2 linked regions of the Neurospora crassa OR74A genome follow. The protein of the gene in region 1 purifies or fractionates together with the protein of each later gene. This does not show direct contact. Links are inferred from orthologs where the notes say so. Each region holds a gene or a part of one and is shown on either strand. Other genes may lie near its edges. The genes, in order: NCU04606 and NCU02685.

What was found.
Region 2: the proteins of NCU04606 (region 1) and NCU02685 purify together in Saccharomyces cerevisiae (affinity purification with mass spectrometry; 9 studies listed by BioGRID, with this or other methods). This does not show direct contact. The link is inferred for Neurospora crassa OR74A from reciprocal best matches to the Saccharomyces cerevisiae genes PRP6 and BRR2.

What each region holds. Positions count from the first base shown.
Region 1 is NC_026505.1:1,526,828-1,534,119, reverse strand, and holds NCU04606 (pre-mRNA splicing factor), read right to left. Parts: upstream 4,854-7,292; 5' UTR 4,761-4,853; coding exon 4,426-4,760; intron 4,314-4,425; exon of another isoform or gene 4,274-4,313; coding exon 1,855-4,273; 3' UTR 1,721-1,854; downstream 1-1,720. Other genes in the region: NCU04605 (hypothetical protein), read left to right, coding at 788-899, 999-1,117, 1,249-1,425; NCU04607 (hypothetical protein), read left to right, coding at 6,369-6,420, 6,499-6,556, 6,985-7,242. UniProt on the Saccharomyces cerevisiae protein: Participates in pre-mRNA splicing. Part of the U4/U5/U6 tri-snRNP complex, one of the building blocks of the spliceosome.
Region 2 is NC_026501.1:3,197,455-3,204,798, reverse strand, and holds the start of NCU02685 (pre-mRNA splicing helicase), read left to right. Parts: upstream 1-3,500; 5' UTR 3,501-3,614; coding exon 3,615-7,344. Other genes in the region: NCU02687 (activator 1 41 kDa subunit), read left to right, coding at 1-617; NCU02686 (hypothetical protein), read right to left, coding at 884-2,023, 2,075-2,334, 2,449-2,647.

The sequences.
Region 1 (7,292 bases):
TGGAAGGCCCTGTTAGTTCTGGACTCATGTGCGCAACCAAGCGCATCCACCTAGCCTCATGATGTAATTCGTCTAGGCAGGTGTCCACAGTAGCTCCAGCTAGCTAGGTAGTTGAGCTCCAGGGCTGAGTATCGTACATTAACATTTTGGAAGAACAATGCTGAGGCTCGCAAAGTACCTTTGACGGAATCTCAAAGACGGAATCTCAAAAACGACACTATTTTTTGAATGTCTGATATCTTCAGCGTCCCAATGGCTGCACCAGATAAAGCATGAGTTCTCATTTCTTTGATCAATCACTGTTCACGACTGCCTCTCAGAAACAACCCTGGCCCTTACCTTAAGCAAGCATGTGGGTCCAGATCTAGCCTTGGCCTCCACACGTTCTCCACTGTATCAACGGCCCCGCTCAGGCCCAGAGCGACCTACGTCATGAATTCATGATTGAATGCCAGGACAGAAGGCACCACGGGCCTTGACACAGCAGCCGTTCACTCGGAAGCAAGCAACAAGCACGTCCAACTGGGAATTCTGGTACTGATGGAAATTGGAGAAGTTTGGGACGGGAGTGGAAAGGTGAAGGAAGGGATGACATATTCATTCTGGAGCACTGCATTTAAAAGTATATAATATCATCTGTCGTCTACCTTCCCCAAGCCACTTACACAACAACAACACAAACAAATCAACACTCAAAACAACCACTCTCGCGATAATCGCAAACCACGCAATAATTACAACACACATACTAAACCTTAATACCACAACAACAACAACAACATCCAAAATGTCCCAGTCTCGCATTCTCCCCATTCTCGGCGCCGGCGTTGTCGGTCTCGGCGGCTACTACATCTACAAGTCTGGAGGCAGCCCTTCGGCCGCTGAGAAGAAGTTTGAGGGTGCGTATCATCCCATCACCTCATCACACCCTCCGTCTCTCTACTAATTTCTATCCCCAACACATTGGCGCAACGATGCTAACTATGTATCAAAACCAGCCGACCTCCACCGCGGCGCCGCCAAGATCAAGTCTGAGTTGCCCAACTCTTCGCAGACCAACGCCCGCCAGGAGGGTGCCCACTACGGCAAGGAGATCGGTGGCAAGATTGATGAGGCTGTAAGTTCTTTTCTTTTACCTTCATTCACCACCACTACTCCTCCTCCTCCTCCTCCTCCTCCTCCTTCTCCTCTCCCACACGCGAACGCAAACAAGTGCTGACAAGTGATGATGATGATACTGCGAAACAGGTCTCCCAAGCAGACAAGACCTACTCTTCAACCAAGTCGCAAGCCGAAGCCCTCGCCAAGGACACCAAGGCCGAAGCGCTCAAGAAGATTGACCAGTTCGACCGCACCGTGGAGCAGAAGGCTGCCGAGGCCAAAGCTGGAGTTTCCAGCTGGTTTGGTAGCGGCAACTCCAAGTAAATTGGCGGCGATCCCCAAATAAACACCGAAACTAATAACGACGGCAAGTTCGACGGACGAAGGGAAAGCATGTCAGGCGTTTGTTTATGATTGATAATGATGAAAAGGTTAATGATATCATGAGTTTGGGGGGGAGGAGGTTAGGGTTTGCTACGTTACGCACGCTAAAGCTAATGCATCATCCATGAATGATTCGGGAGTTCTAGGACTTGTTAGGACATTTGAAAGGACTTTATGGAACAAGTTAATTCGAACAATTGCGAACCATCAAAACAAAGAAACATAACAGCCCCGATCGTGATTGAATCAGATGAAATTTGCGCTGCTCTAACGAGTCTGTTTGTCTTTTTTACCCAAACCCAGGGCTGATCATGCCTCAACACCACATTAGCATCACAAATAGTCCGTCTACATAGTAAACAACCCCCCTCAAGACAACGTCTCTGCCACCAACTTCAACACCTCGTCCGTCTTCTTTCCCGCATTTTTCGGATCCTTCGCCACCCTCGTCCACTCCTCTCCATGCCTAGGATCCACCAACACGCACTTGGCCACCAAATCCGCCCTCTTCTCCTCCGTCCCATGCTGCACCAAAAACTTGTAATACCACGCCCACGTATCGCCCACATCGCGATCCAGCAACAGCGCCTTCTCGAACCAGTTCTGCGCCCGGTCCAGCTTCCTTTCCGCCCACAGAATTCTCGCGGCCGTGACCAGCAGGATCGGATCGTCTTCCACCTTTTTCACCGCCTCGGCAAGCAGCGATTTCCGCTGCGTGCGCGGCTCGAGGTTGAGGATCCTTTCCGCCCACAGCAAGCCCGATTTGGGCATCTGCTGTAACGCTTGCGCCATGAGCGACTTGGCCTGGTTCAAGTTGCCCGCGCGCCGCTCGACGCGGATGAGTTCCGTCCATAGCTCCGGGGACTTGGGCACGGCTTGTCGGGCGCGGTCGAGGACCGAGCGCGCCTTGACGACATTGTTGGCCTTTTCTTCTAAACGAGAGTACAGAAGCCAGAGCGGGATGGACGAAGGGACGGCGCGCACGCCGGTGCTGTAGGCTTCCCGCGCAGGACCAAGTTGGCCGAGGTCTTCGTAGATTTGGCCCTTCATCATCCAGAGTTTGGGCTTGGAAGGGAAGAGCTGTAGGGCCTGTTGGACGAGATCCAAAGCGGCCTCGTTGACGCCTTGTTGACGCTCAAACGCCACGGAGCGCATCCACACGCGATCGGTGGGCGCATTCTGGCGCGCGGTCTTGAGGAGTTCGCGGGCTTTGTCGATGAAACCGTTGTCGGCTTCGAGCTTGACGGCCGCCAGCCAGATGTCCTCGCTGTCCGGGTTCTGCTTGAAGGCGCGGGCAAGGACGAGGCGTGCCTCGTCGACGCCCGCCTCGGCGGCTTTCTCGCGCGCGAGCATGAGCCAGAAGACTTCGTAGTGCGGACAGGCCTCGACGGCCTTTTCGAGCGCGTGCCAGAGGTCTTCCTTGCTGCCGTGGTTGCGCTCCAGGTCGATGGCGGCCGTGTAGAGCGATTTGCTGTTGGGGAAGACGCGGATGGCGTAGGCGTAGATGGCGCGCGCTGTGGCGAACTTGTCCCGGTTGATGGAGGCGCGCGCGTCTTCCATCCAGAGCTCCTTGCGGTCATCGTCCTCGTCGAGACCCCAGCCAAGCGTCTCTTCGATGATGTTGCTGCAAGTGATGACGGCGCCTTCCTCTTCGCACTTTTCTGCTTCGGCGATCCATTCCTCGCGCTTGGGCATGGCGTTCTGCTTGGCGAGGAACTTGACGGCGTTCTTCATCACGGGCCGCTTCTTGCCTTCGCCTAGTTGTTCTTCCAGGCGAGCGGCGGCGATCCAGAGTTCGTGCGAGTTGGGAAGCTTCTTGACGGCCTTGTTGAGAACCTTGCGGGCGTTTTCGGGAGTCTCGAGACGGGCCAGTGCCAACCAGAGGTCGAGCGACTCCGGGATAAGCTCCGTCGCCTTGGCTAGTAGAATGCGGGCGTCTTCGACGTCCTCCTCGAGGTTGACAGCCTCCTTCCATAGCGCCTCGGACTCTTGGTTATGATCGAGAGCTCTCCGGATAACCTTCTTCTTTGATCTAGGGTCGTTTTCCAGCTTCATCGCTTCCACCCAAAGCTTGACCGAGTGTGGGTTGGCTTGAATAGCCTGTGCCGCAATGACCTTGGCGTTCCGGTTGTCGTTCAAATGAATGTTTTCCAGCCAAATATCCTCGCTCTTCGGGCAGTGTTCGCAGCCCTTGGCAATCAAGCTGCGGGCAGCACCAGGCTTTCCCGCCGCGATTTCCAATCTCGCTGCAGCAATCCAACTGGCTGCCTGTTTGGGGTTCGAGTCGACAGCCGACTTGAGCATCTTCCTGAACTGCTCAATGTCTCCAATGCTTTGTTCCGCACCCTGCATGCTCGACAGCGATGTCAGGTAGCCCTTGGGGTCGATACTCGTCGCGCTTCCCGCCGTGGCCACGCTACTCGACTGTGATTGCTGTTCCAAGCGCGCCCTCAGCACCTTGTCGCGAGCCGCACCGATCTTTGCGAAATCTGTAACTGTGCCATCCTTGTTGACCCCTTCGGTGGCGGTGCCGTCTTCTGCAACGGTGGTACCGAACTGGCCGGAATCTCGCGCGGCAGCGAGGACACTGTCGGGAACGGCGTAGAAGCGCTCCATGCGAGCCTGGCGTGCCCTCTTGGTCCTGCCGGTAAGGTCCTTGGGATCTGGTAGGTTTGCCCATTCTTCGTCGGTGACCGTCTCGAGCGCTCGTTTGAGGCCGGCGAATTGCTGTTGGATTTTGGGGTTCTTTCGTTCGTACTCTAATCGTTCGGCTTCTTCTCGTGCTTCCCTGTGAAAATGCGATTTCTTGTCGGTACTCTGCTTTTCATCTATCTTGACCGATAAACCACATGCTTGCTTGAAAGTGTTGGGGAAGGGGTAGAAGGGTGTTTTGTGAATTTATGTAGGATGTCAAGTGATGTATACGAGGTAATGACTAACCTTTGCTTCTGTCGCCGCTTCGCCATCCTGTCGTCTACCTCTTTCCATATCCGATCTGCCTCCTCGTCGTCCTTCTCGTATATGCCGCCGGCGAACAAGCCGACTTCGTTGTCGGGATCCTGATAGCGGCCATCGTCTTCATTGTCGTCGTCCTTGGCCTCGGTCAGACCTAGCTGTGCAGATCTCTTCGCGACGGCCGCCTTGATCTGGTCTTCACTAGGACCCTCGCGCGCGGGACCAAGATCGGATCGTGTAGTGAAACCCGTGGCACCACGACCGAGACCGGCGACGTAGTTCTCGGGTGCGGGTTGACTGAGGAAATCCCGTCTAGACATGGTGGCGGTTTTCTGTATTCGTGATGTATTGTAGAGACGCGGTGGCTAGGATTGTGACCGTGGTGGCCGTAGAGGTAGCTCCAAACATTTGAGTTAGCGGCAAAATACCGGCAGGCTGCAAGTCGAAGTGGAAGTCGAACTCCAGGGCACTGAAGCCTGCCTGCCACTGGTCCAGGCGCTCTTGGCATTTGACGAACGAATGGCAGGCACAGTGCCAAGTAAACAGTCTACGACTCCACCAGTGCTTGGCGGCTTAATTCCACTTTCGTTGTTTACTTCCTCCTATCATTCATCTACCTCCTTTCCCGTCTTCACCATCACCAGTCAGCGGAGCCATGATGGCCATAGAAGACAACTATGACGATATTTCAGCGCTCCTGCCGTCGGCAACTGAAATGGCCTGGCTCAGTGAGGCGTGAAGTGGGACAACTTCACCCAGATGCTCGTCTGCTCTTCGTGTTGCAGCATCACTAAGGGAAATGCATTATTCATCTATGGCAATGCCTGCGATCAGCCTAGCCAACAATGTCCAACTTCAACCTCCCATTTAAATTCTTTCTGTGCAGGTGCGGCAACTACAGCATTTATGCCTCGCACCATTCAACCTTCACGGTCAGGTTAACCGCAAAGGCGGCACCATGCAAGGCGAATATACTCCCTCACCGAGACTTCGTAACACAGGTTTTCCTGTTTACAATAAACATGCTGTACAACGGCACACGATGACTGAGCCTATGCCTTTTTATTCTGCAATGAATTTAGGCTGGGTTTAGCTCCTTGCCGGCCGTCTACCTAGGTATATTTATTCAGTACCACGTCCCTGATTGAGTATACAGCGGGATCCGAGTTCGCACAACTTGAACGTCTGTACACAAGGTGCTTCCAATCTGCATACACTGTCTCAAAGCACTCATGGCGACTGAAGGAAAGCTACTCCAGCGCCGCCCACTCGAACCACCAATGTGCAATTTCGAGACCCTCCTGTTGACTAAATCTCATAAGTATGGGCATCTAGCTCGCTTCTTCACCCTTTACTACCACTCACATATTCGGTCCAGACCTTCTTGCTCGTCCATCACAGGAGAGCTTGATGTGATAGTCATGGAGCCGCTGATCAAAAACCCGATGTCTTCTCATATCAAACACTCATCAAATGACTCCGCAGGTAAGATCTCTTGGAAACCAGGCGGCTTCAGACGTTTTCCCTGGTTTGGGATAATTCCGCTGATCTTTTGTATAAGCTGTGAGTACTCGTTCCTACGTTCACCACAACACTGAGGCTGTGACCAAGTACCGACAATGCTAACTGCAAGGACTAGGTACAGGAATTGCTATAGGAGTCGTTCTCGAGAGCGATGGTGGTTCGGAAAAGAACTGGTCCGGGCTCAGACAACCCGGTGTTTTGTTGGCGTACACATCGACTCTTGCAAACGCGTTGATGGGGCTTGCCTTTGCCCAAGCGGCCGTGATATTCTTCTGGGTCCAAGCAACAACGCCGCTACCAGTTGAGTTCCGGCATCTCTCGGCTGTCAGTCAGTATGATATATCAATTGACACGATATACAGATTAGCAGCCTCCACCATAACTGGGCCGGATCTTCAAGCACCATGGGCGCAGTCAAGTCCATCTTCCAGGGAAAGGCGATTCGCGTCAGTTTAGGTTAGAATTTCAATACTCCCCTGCCCCGGTCTTTACCACATCAGAGATATTATGGCATCATCACTTACGTTTGTACAGTATCTATCCTCGTCACAGTCACGGCCCTCCTTCGCGGTCCTCTGATGCAACGAGCCTCGTATGTTCAAGTGGTCGATGTATGGCAGAACAATACCATTGATCTTCCAGTCACTTTGAATATCAGCAGCCTTTGGGGCAGAAAGTTTGGCAAGTTAAATGTGGAGTATACGCGGCCCATTGGGCAATTCGCTCCTGGATTCTCAGATGTGGTCCGCGACCTTCTAAACAAAGCGCCCATTCGGATGAGAGGGGTATATTGTGAGAACTGCACCTTAACTATCGTGGTGAGATATATTCTAGGCCCAATACTCCAATCATCATAGTGCCATCTTGAGCTGTCGTTTCGCTGGCCACGACTAACTTGAGATCATTGGTTCAGGCATTCGGCTTCGATGTTATCAACTGTACAGAACTAAGAAACAGCTCGGATACATATGATCTCGATTTCAAGGCGATCGAACCACTGAGAGAACATAATGAATTTAGGAAAAACATCATATTTGAGACCTCCGTAAGGCCAGTTATGGACGACGATCTTATTCATCACCCCGATGCCATCTCTTCAAACAGGTCAATGATCCAAATCACCACAAGACGAAAAACTGATACTGGATGCGCCGGTCTGTTTCTTAATCATACATGCAATCTTAAGCCTGGGGCAGTACAATACAATGTGAGTCTTCAGGGAGACATTGCGACTTTGCAGTCAAAGAGCTGGAAAGGTGACAAATTTGTAAAGCCTATGTAAGTTGTCAAAATGCTAGATTTGAGCCTTATCCCATACTTCTTTGTCG
Region 2 (7,344 bases), on another chromosome or scaffold:
TTATCGATCCGTTGGCGAGTCGTTGCAGCAAGTTTCGGTTCAAGAGCCTCGACCAGGGGAACGCCAAGAAGAGGCTGGAGGAGATTGCTCAGCTCGAGGGTGTCGGGCTAGAAGAGGGAGCTGTCGATGCGCTGATCAAGTGCAGCGAGGGCGATTTGAGAAAGGCGATTACGTATTTGCAGAGTGCGGCAAGGCTAGTTGGTGCCGTGGCAGCCACAGCTAAAGACGGGGAGCAAAAAGAAACCGAAGGCGACGACGAGATGGAAGTGGACGCCAAATTGGTTACGGTCAAGGTCGTGGAGGATATCGCTGGTGTTATCCCGGACGATACCATTCAGAGGTTACTCGAAGCGATGCGGCCCCGCGCTGGGGTGGATACGTACCCTGCGGTTGCCAAGGTGGTCGAGGAAATGGTGGCGGATGGTTGGAGCGCTGGGCAGACCATGACGCAGCTCTACCAGGCGGTGGTTTTCGACGAGATGATCCCGGATGTGCAGAAGAACAAGATTGTTATGGTGTTCTCGGAGGTGGATAAGAGGCTGGTGGACGGCGCAGACGAACATCTGTCCGTACTCGACCTGGCGCTACGGATATCGGGTATCATGGCTGGGAGGTAACGGCCAAAGCTTAAAGAGTCTGAAAGGGTACGACAGAAGCAGATGGTTCAAAGATAGGCGACATATCACTGGGTTCGGAGTTTCGGTTTGGGCAACAGAAAATGGCAGGTCATTTACATCGCACTACAAGGTCATATTTTGGTGTTTCTAGTCCTAGACTTCTTTCTTGACAAATGCTTGACAATGGTCTTTTATCCCTGGCACCTCGCCCACCAGTTGTGTTCCGAGGTGTCTCCCGTCGCAACACACGATAGTTATGGCTGCCTCTACCCAGACTTCTCTAGTCCTACATGCACATCCACCATATTCCACATGCTCAAGCTCCCTCCCTCACGGTGACCAATTGTCTCCTTCCCCTTCCTGCCTCCCTCATCGTATCTCGTCCCAAGTCCCGATCCACCAGTTGCATTTGTGATTTTCAGCGATTTCTGCCCTTCGACAAGCCATATGTCAGATTCCTCGCCCACCTCATCATCATCGCCATCATTATCATCATCATTACCCTCCTCCTCTCCGCAAGCCGCTTTAACCGGCTGCTGTCGTTGCTGCTGCTGCTGCTGCTGCAACCCACGTCCCAACAACCGATCAGCCTCGCCTAGCATGCGAATTGCTCCCTCCAGCGCTATCTGCCCTTTCTCAATTTTCTCCACTACCACCTCAAAAGTTGCGATCTTGGCCGAGTCGGCAGCTGATACCCACGGGTTGACTAGACGCGATGACATCATGGCGTTGGGGTCATCGTCCTGTTTCTTCTTCTGCACTACTACTGCCGTGGCGTGGGCGGGTATCAACTGGCTTTCTTCCACCAGGTGATCCAGCACCTGGGCGTTTTCCCTCAGCTGCTTGGTGAGGAGGGTGGTTACGTGGGCCTTGTGAGCCATGAGGCCTTTATGTTCGTGAGAGAGGGTGAGGAGGCGGGTGAGGGTTGGGGTGAGAAGGTGGTCTATTATGGGAGCGGGTGTAGACGCCTCTGCTGCTGCCGCTGCTGCTACTGCTTGTGTTGAAGATCGCTCAGGAGATGCCGCTGAAGGAGAGGAGGAAAAGGCAGTGATGGCGGGGAAATCAAGGGACGGTAGGGAGCGAAGTTGGGTGGTGACCAGCTCTAGGAGAGCTTTTCGCATGGAGAGATACTCGGCGTATTTTTCTTTGATGCTGGTGAGTTGTTGCTTAAGGAGTTGGGTTTTGTGTGCGAGCTGTTGGTCCCGTTGGACTTGGAAGTCATCTTGTCCAGCCCTTTCTCCTCCTCCGTCTTTTTCCTCTCCGGATGCTTTCCCTAGCTCGGTCTCGACCCAGTTGATCAGCTCAGTACGAGTGGCATTTAATGCTTGAAGCTTTGCTTCTGGGTTGATTTCATCCGGCTGCACGGTGAAGGGGTGGGATTTCGCGTTCTCGAGGAGGGTCTCTTCCTGTTTAAGTGACAGTTTCGTTTGGAAGGTACGGTGTTCGAGTGTCTTTACAAGGTCCTCGAGCCGGACACTGCTAGATGCGGTGATGTTCTCCGACGTTTCCTCGAGCGCTAGAGAGTTGATAATCTCGGTTGGAACCTCAGGTAGCGGTCTGCAAACTCTGAAAAGTTTCTGGTGGTCTAGGAAATCCGGTGATGCCGCCGGCTTCTGCCTCAAGAGGTCAAGGTTTTTCTTGACCACTAACAGTTTCTCTTGCTTCTTTTGTATTTTGAGGTTGGTAAGATGGTTGAGAAGGTAGTTAGACTGTATTTCTGTTGGTTGAGGGACAGAAACCTCATGATGACTGCGCTTTTGTGAGAGTGTGTGGTATTCTTTGCGGGCTTTGATGTTCGCGCGCAATGCTTCGAGGAATTCCCTATACAGACCTCTAGTATCTTGTGAGTAGGAGGGTACTTCACTTGACTCGGTGAGAGACAACGGTTCTGTCAGCGTTGCTCCGTCTTTCAAGCCCGAACTGAGGTGAAGTGTCAAGATCCGTCTGATATGGGCGGCTTCCTCGCGAGGCCTGGTGTATGGTTGCAGCACCTTCTGAACAGCTTCTAGCGTTTCTCGAAAGGAATCCATCGTGTAGATAATTCCAACTTGACCTGTCTATCAGTATTGGCTTCTTTTCATATCAAGGCATAAAACAGCTTATTGGTCAAATTGTGAATGACTGTGATCATCGATGAGCTCAGCCCGATGTGAGCAGGACGGACATAAGAGAGCGTGGTATGAACCAGAGGTATCTCAGTTTCCAGCATTCAAATGATTGTTCAAATAGCTCGTGAAGTAATACGATTCGTCCCTCTTGGTGGTATGAAAAAGAGGTATCGTAGAAGTCGGAGCCCATGGATCAGACTTCTGCCACCTATCTCGAGTTGCTCGATGGGTTGAGATCGTGTTGATGATTGTGCCTACCACCTTTAGGATGTTTGTTAGTGCACCTTGACCAACCTCTACACACCCCACGGGGTCTCCGCCTATGCACTAACACCGCCCTGACAGCAAGGTCAAGCTCCAGCTGTTCAGTGTGTTTACGTGCTGTCCAGGCAGCCAATGAGAGTCGACGACGGCAGCATTGCATAAAAATTTCCAGCCGTCATGACTGGAGCCACACCTATCTCTGCACCGCTTGCCACCCCTACCAAGCCAAGTAAGTTCCTGCTGGCTGGCAAGAACCACGCCTCTGGCTCAACCTTTCCAAACTGAACGCCAAACTCCAACCTTCCTTTCGCGACAACCGCGACAGACTTCTGTCGGAAACCCATCATCTCTGTTTCCGCCCGACCCCAGATTCTTGATCTACCCATCGATGCGACCGGCGAAATACTACTTATCAGCCAGCAAAACCAACGCTTGGTTCGGGCCGGGCTCGGGCTAATTTATCGCCACTGCGTGCACGCAAGAACAAGCACATTTTATCCCCAAAGGCCGAGTTGAAGATATCACCAGATCGAGACTCTTCCATCCGCTACGACCTCTACTTCGATCTTGACGTATACCTCAAAACATTTCATAGATTTCTTTTTTTCTTCTCCGAGCTGGCAAGATGACGGACCACCACCGCGATGTGTCGCAATATAAATACTCGGCCATGTCCAACCTGGTTCTCCAGGCGGACCGTCGTTTCGTCACGAGGCGTACCGATGAGGCCACGGGAGACCCCGAGTCCCTAGCCGGGCGTCTGTCCATCAAAGATATGGGCTCCAGAGTCGCTCGCGACTCAGCACCAAAGCCCAAGAAGGCGGGCGCCATGCCCGACGTCGAGCGGGGCAGTCTAAGGGAAGGTGCTGATATCCTGCAACGAGAGAAGAAGAAGGGCAAACTCGAGTCCGCTACAAGAGGTGGAGGTATTCTTACTGGCGCCGACGCGCTTATCGAAGGTCTCCGCTACCGCCCTCGAACGCAGCCGACGCGCGATGCCTTCAACCTTATCCTCACCATTGTCGCCGAACACTTGGGCGACGTGCCCCATGAGGTCGTTCGCAGTGCTGCTGACGCGGTTCTCGAATATCTCAAGGATGACGACCTGAAGGATTTTGACAAGAAGAAGGAGGTTGATGATATTCTTGGAGTCTCGATGGGGCCCAAGCAGTTCAACGAGCTCATAAATCTCGGCAAAAAGATCACGGATTACGACGCTCAAGATGAAGACGAGGATGCGGGCGATGCTAGGCAAGAAGGCGACGACGAGATTGACGGTCGCCAGGGTGTTGCGGTCAACTTCGAGAACGATGAAGATGATGATGGCATGGTTGATGTTGTTCGGGACGAATCTTCCGATGAGGAGGATTTTGCGGAGGATGAAGAGCTGCCTGACAGCAACGAGGTGGTCGATGGTGAAGGAGGTCAGGAGGAGGTGGTCGAAGATATTCTGAACGGCGAGGCCATGGTCATCGATTCAGCACCGGAAGGGAAGAAAAGCGGGTCTGACGACAATTCCATACCCGCCAGAGATATCGATGCGTTCTGGTTACAACGCCAGATTGGCCGGCTATATCCCGACGCACATATCCAGCATGATAAGACAATGTCTGCGCTCAAGACTCTTTCCGGCGAGCCCGATGAGCCAGGTGGTGAAGAAAAGCAGCTCCGCGACATCGAAAACGACTTGATGGAGCTTTTTGATTACGAACACCACGAGCTTGTGCAAAAACTCATTGCTAACCGGGAGAAGGTCGTATGGCTTACTCGGCTGGCCAGAGCTGAGAATGAGGAGGAGAGAAATACGATCAAGCGGGAGATGGCTTCTGAGGGTCTGCGTTGGATTCTGGACGAGCTGGAAGGCAAGACCGACGGCGGCCAGAAGAAGATCAAGATGGACATCAAGATGGACATTGACTCGGGGGCCTTTGCTGATAAGGAAGGCCAAAAGCCTGAGCGTCCCGAGGGACAGCTAGTCGGAGGTCTGCAGCCACGCAAGTTAATAAACCTGGAGAACCTCATATTCGATCAGGGTAACCACCTTATGACCAATCCCAAAGTACGACTTCCCGAGGGCTCGACAAAGCGCACCTTCAAGGGCTATGAAGAAATCCATGTGCCCCCACCAAAGAAGCGCAACGACCCCAGCGACGCCCATGTCCCGATTTCTGAAATGCCTGAGTGGGCTCAGATACCTTTCAGCACGGCCAAATCGTTAAACAAGATTCAGTCAAAGTGCTATCCTACTGCCTTTGGTGATGATGGAAACATGCTTGTCTGTGCTCCGACGGGCTCTGGCAAGACCAACGTGGCGATGCTCACCATCCTTCGTGAGATCGGGAAGCATAGAAACGAAGCCGGCGAGATCGACCTGGACGCCTTCAAGATCGTCTATATCGCGCCCTTGAAAGCCCTTGTTCAAGAACAGGTCGGCAACTTCGGAAAGCGTCTCGAACCATTCGGTATCAGGGTGGCCGAACTCACTGGCGATCGGCAACTTACTAAGCAACAGATCTCGGAAACGCAGATTATCGTTACGACCCCCGAAAAATGGGATGTCATCACGAGAAAGGCTACTGATCTCTCCTACACCAACCTGGTCCGCCTGATTATTATTGACGAGATCCATCTCCTTCACGATGACCGTGGTCCTGTGCTTGAAAGCATTGTCGCCAGAACCATCCGCAAGACAGAGCAGACCGGTGAGCCTGTTCGCATTGTGGGCTTGTCTGCCACTCTGCCCAACTACCGCGACGTAGCGAGCTTCCTGCGTGTGGATACGAACACCGGGCTCTTCCACTTCGATGGTACCTTCCGCCCTTGCCCCCTCCGTCAAGAGTTTATCGGCGTCACGGACAGAAAGGCCATCAAGCAGTTAAAGACCATGAATGATATCACCTACCAAAAGGTCTTGGAGCACGTAGGACAGAATCGCAATCAGATGCTCATCTTTGTCCATTCCAGAAAGGAAACGGCAAAGACCGCCAGGTACATCAGGGACAAGGCTTTGGAAATGGACACCATCAACCAGATCTTGAAGCACGACGCCGGAACCCGTGAAGTCCTGAGCGAAGCCTCCAACTCTGTCAACAACACCGATCTGAAGGATATCTTGCCCTATGGCTTCGGTATCCATCATGCTGGTATGAGTCGTGCTGATCGTACCGACGTCGAAGATTTGTTTGCCAGTGGCCATATCCAGGTTCTTGTGTGCACAGCCACTCTTGCTTGGGGTGTCAACCTTCCAGCCCATACCGTCATCATCAAGGGCACGCAAGTGTACTCGCCTGAAAAAGGTAGCTGGGTTGAGCTCAGTCCTCAGGATGTGCTGCAGATGCTTGGTCGTGCCGGTCGTCCTCAGTTCGACACCTATGGTGAAGGTATCATCATCACCACCCAGGGAGAGATGCAGTACTACCTTTCGCTCCTTAACCAGCAGTTACCCATTGAAAGTCAATTTGCTAGCAAGTTGGTTGATAACCTCAATGCTGAAATCGTGCTGGGCAATGTCAGAAGCCGTGACGAAGGTGTAGAGTGGCTTGGCTATACCTACCTCTTTGTTCGTATGCTTCGCTCTCCTGGTCTTTACCAAGTTGGGGCAGAGTACGAGGATGATGAAGCTTTGGAGCAAAAACGTGTCGACCTAATACATTCCGCTGCTACTGTGCTGAAAAAGTCAAATCTAATCAAGTATGACGAGAAGACCGGAAAGCTTCAGTCCACTGAACTTGGCCGCATCGCCTCGCACTACTACATCAGCTATGGTTCGATGGATACCTACAACAAGTTGATTCAACCCTCTATCACCGATGTCGAACTCTTCCGAGTATTCGCTCAGAGCGCCGAATTCAAGTACATTCCTGTTCGGCAAGAAGAAAAGCTGGAATTGGCCAAGCTCCTGGCAAAGGTACCCATTCCGGTCAAGGAGAGCATTGAGGAGCCTACCGCAAAGATCAACGTGTTGTTACAGGCGTTCATCTCTCGTCTGAAGCTGGAGGGTCTCGCCCTCATGGCTGACATGGTCTACGTTACGCAATCTGCTGGTCGTATTCTTCGGGCTATCTTTGAAATCACGATGAAGAAGGGATGGGCATCAGTTGCTAAGCTGGCCCTGAACCTGTGCAAGATGGCCGAGAAGAGGATGTGGCCAACCATGTCGCCGCTGAGACAGTTCCCCAACTGTCCTGTTGAGATTATCAGGAAGGCTGAAAGGATCGACGTGCCCTTTTCCAGCTACTTCGATCTGGACCCTCCTCGGATGGGCGAGCTTCTCGGACTACCCAAGGCGGGCAAGACTGTTTGCAGCCTGGTGGCCAAGTTCCCCCGCGTCGAGGTCCAAGCCCAGGTGCAGCCCA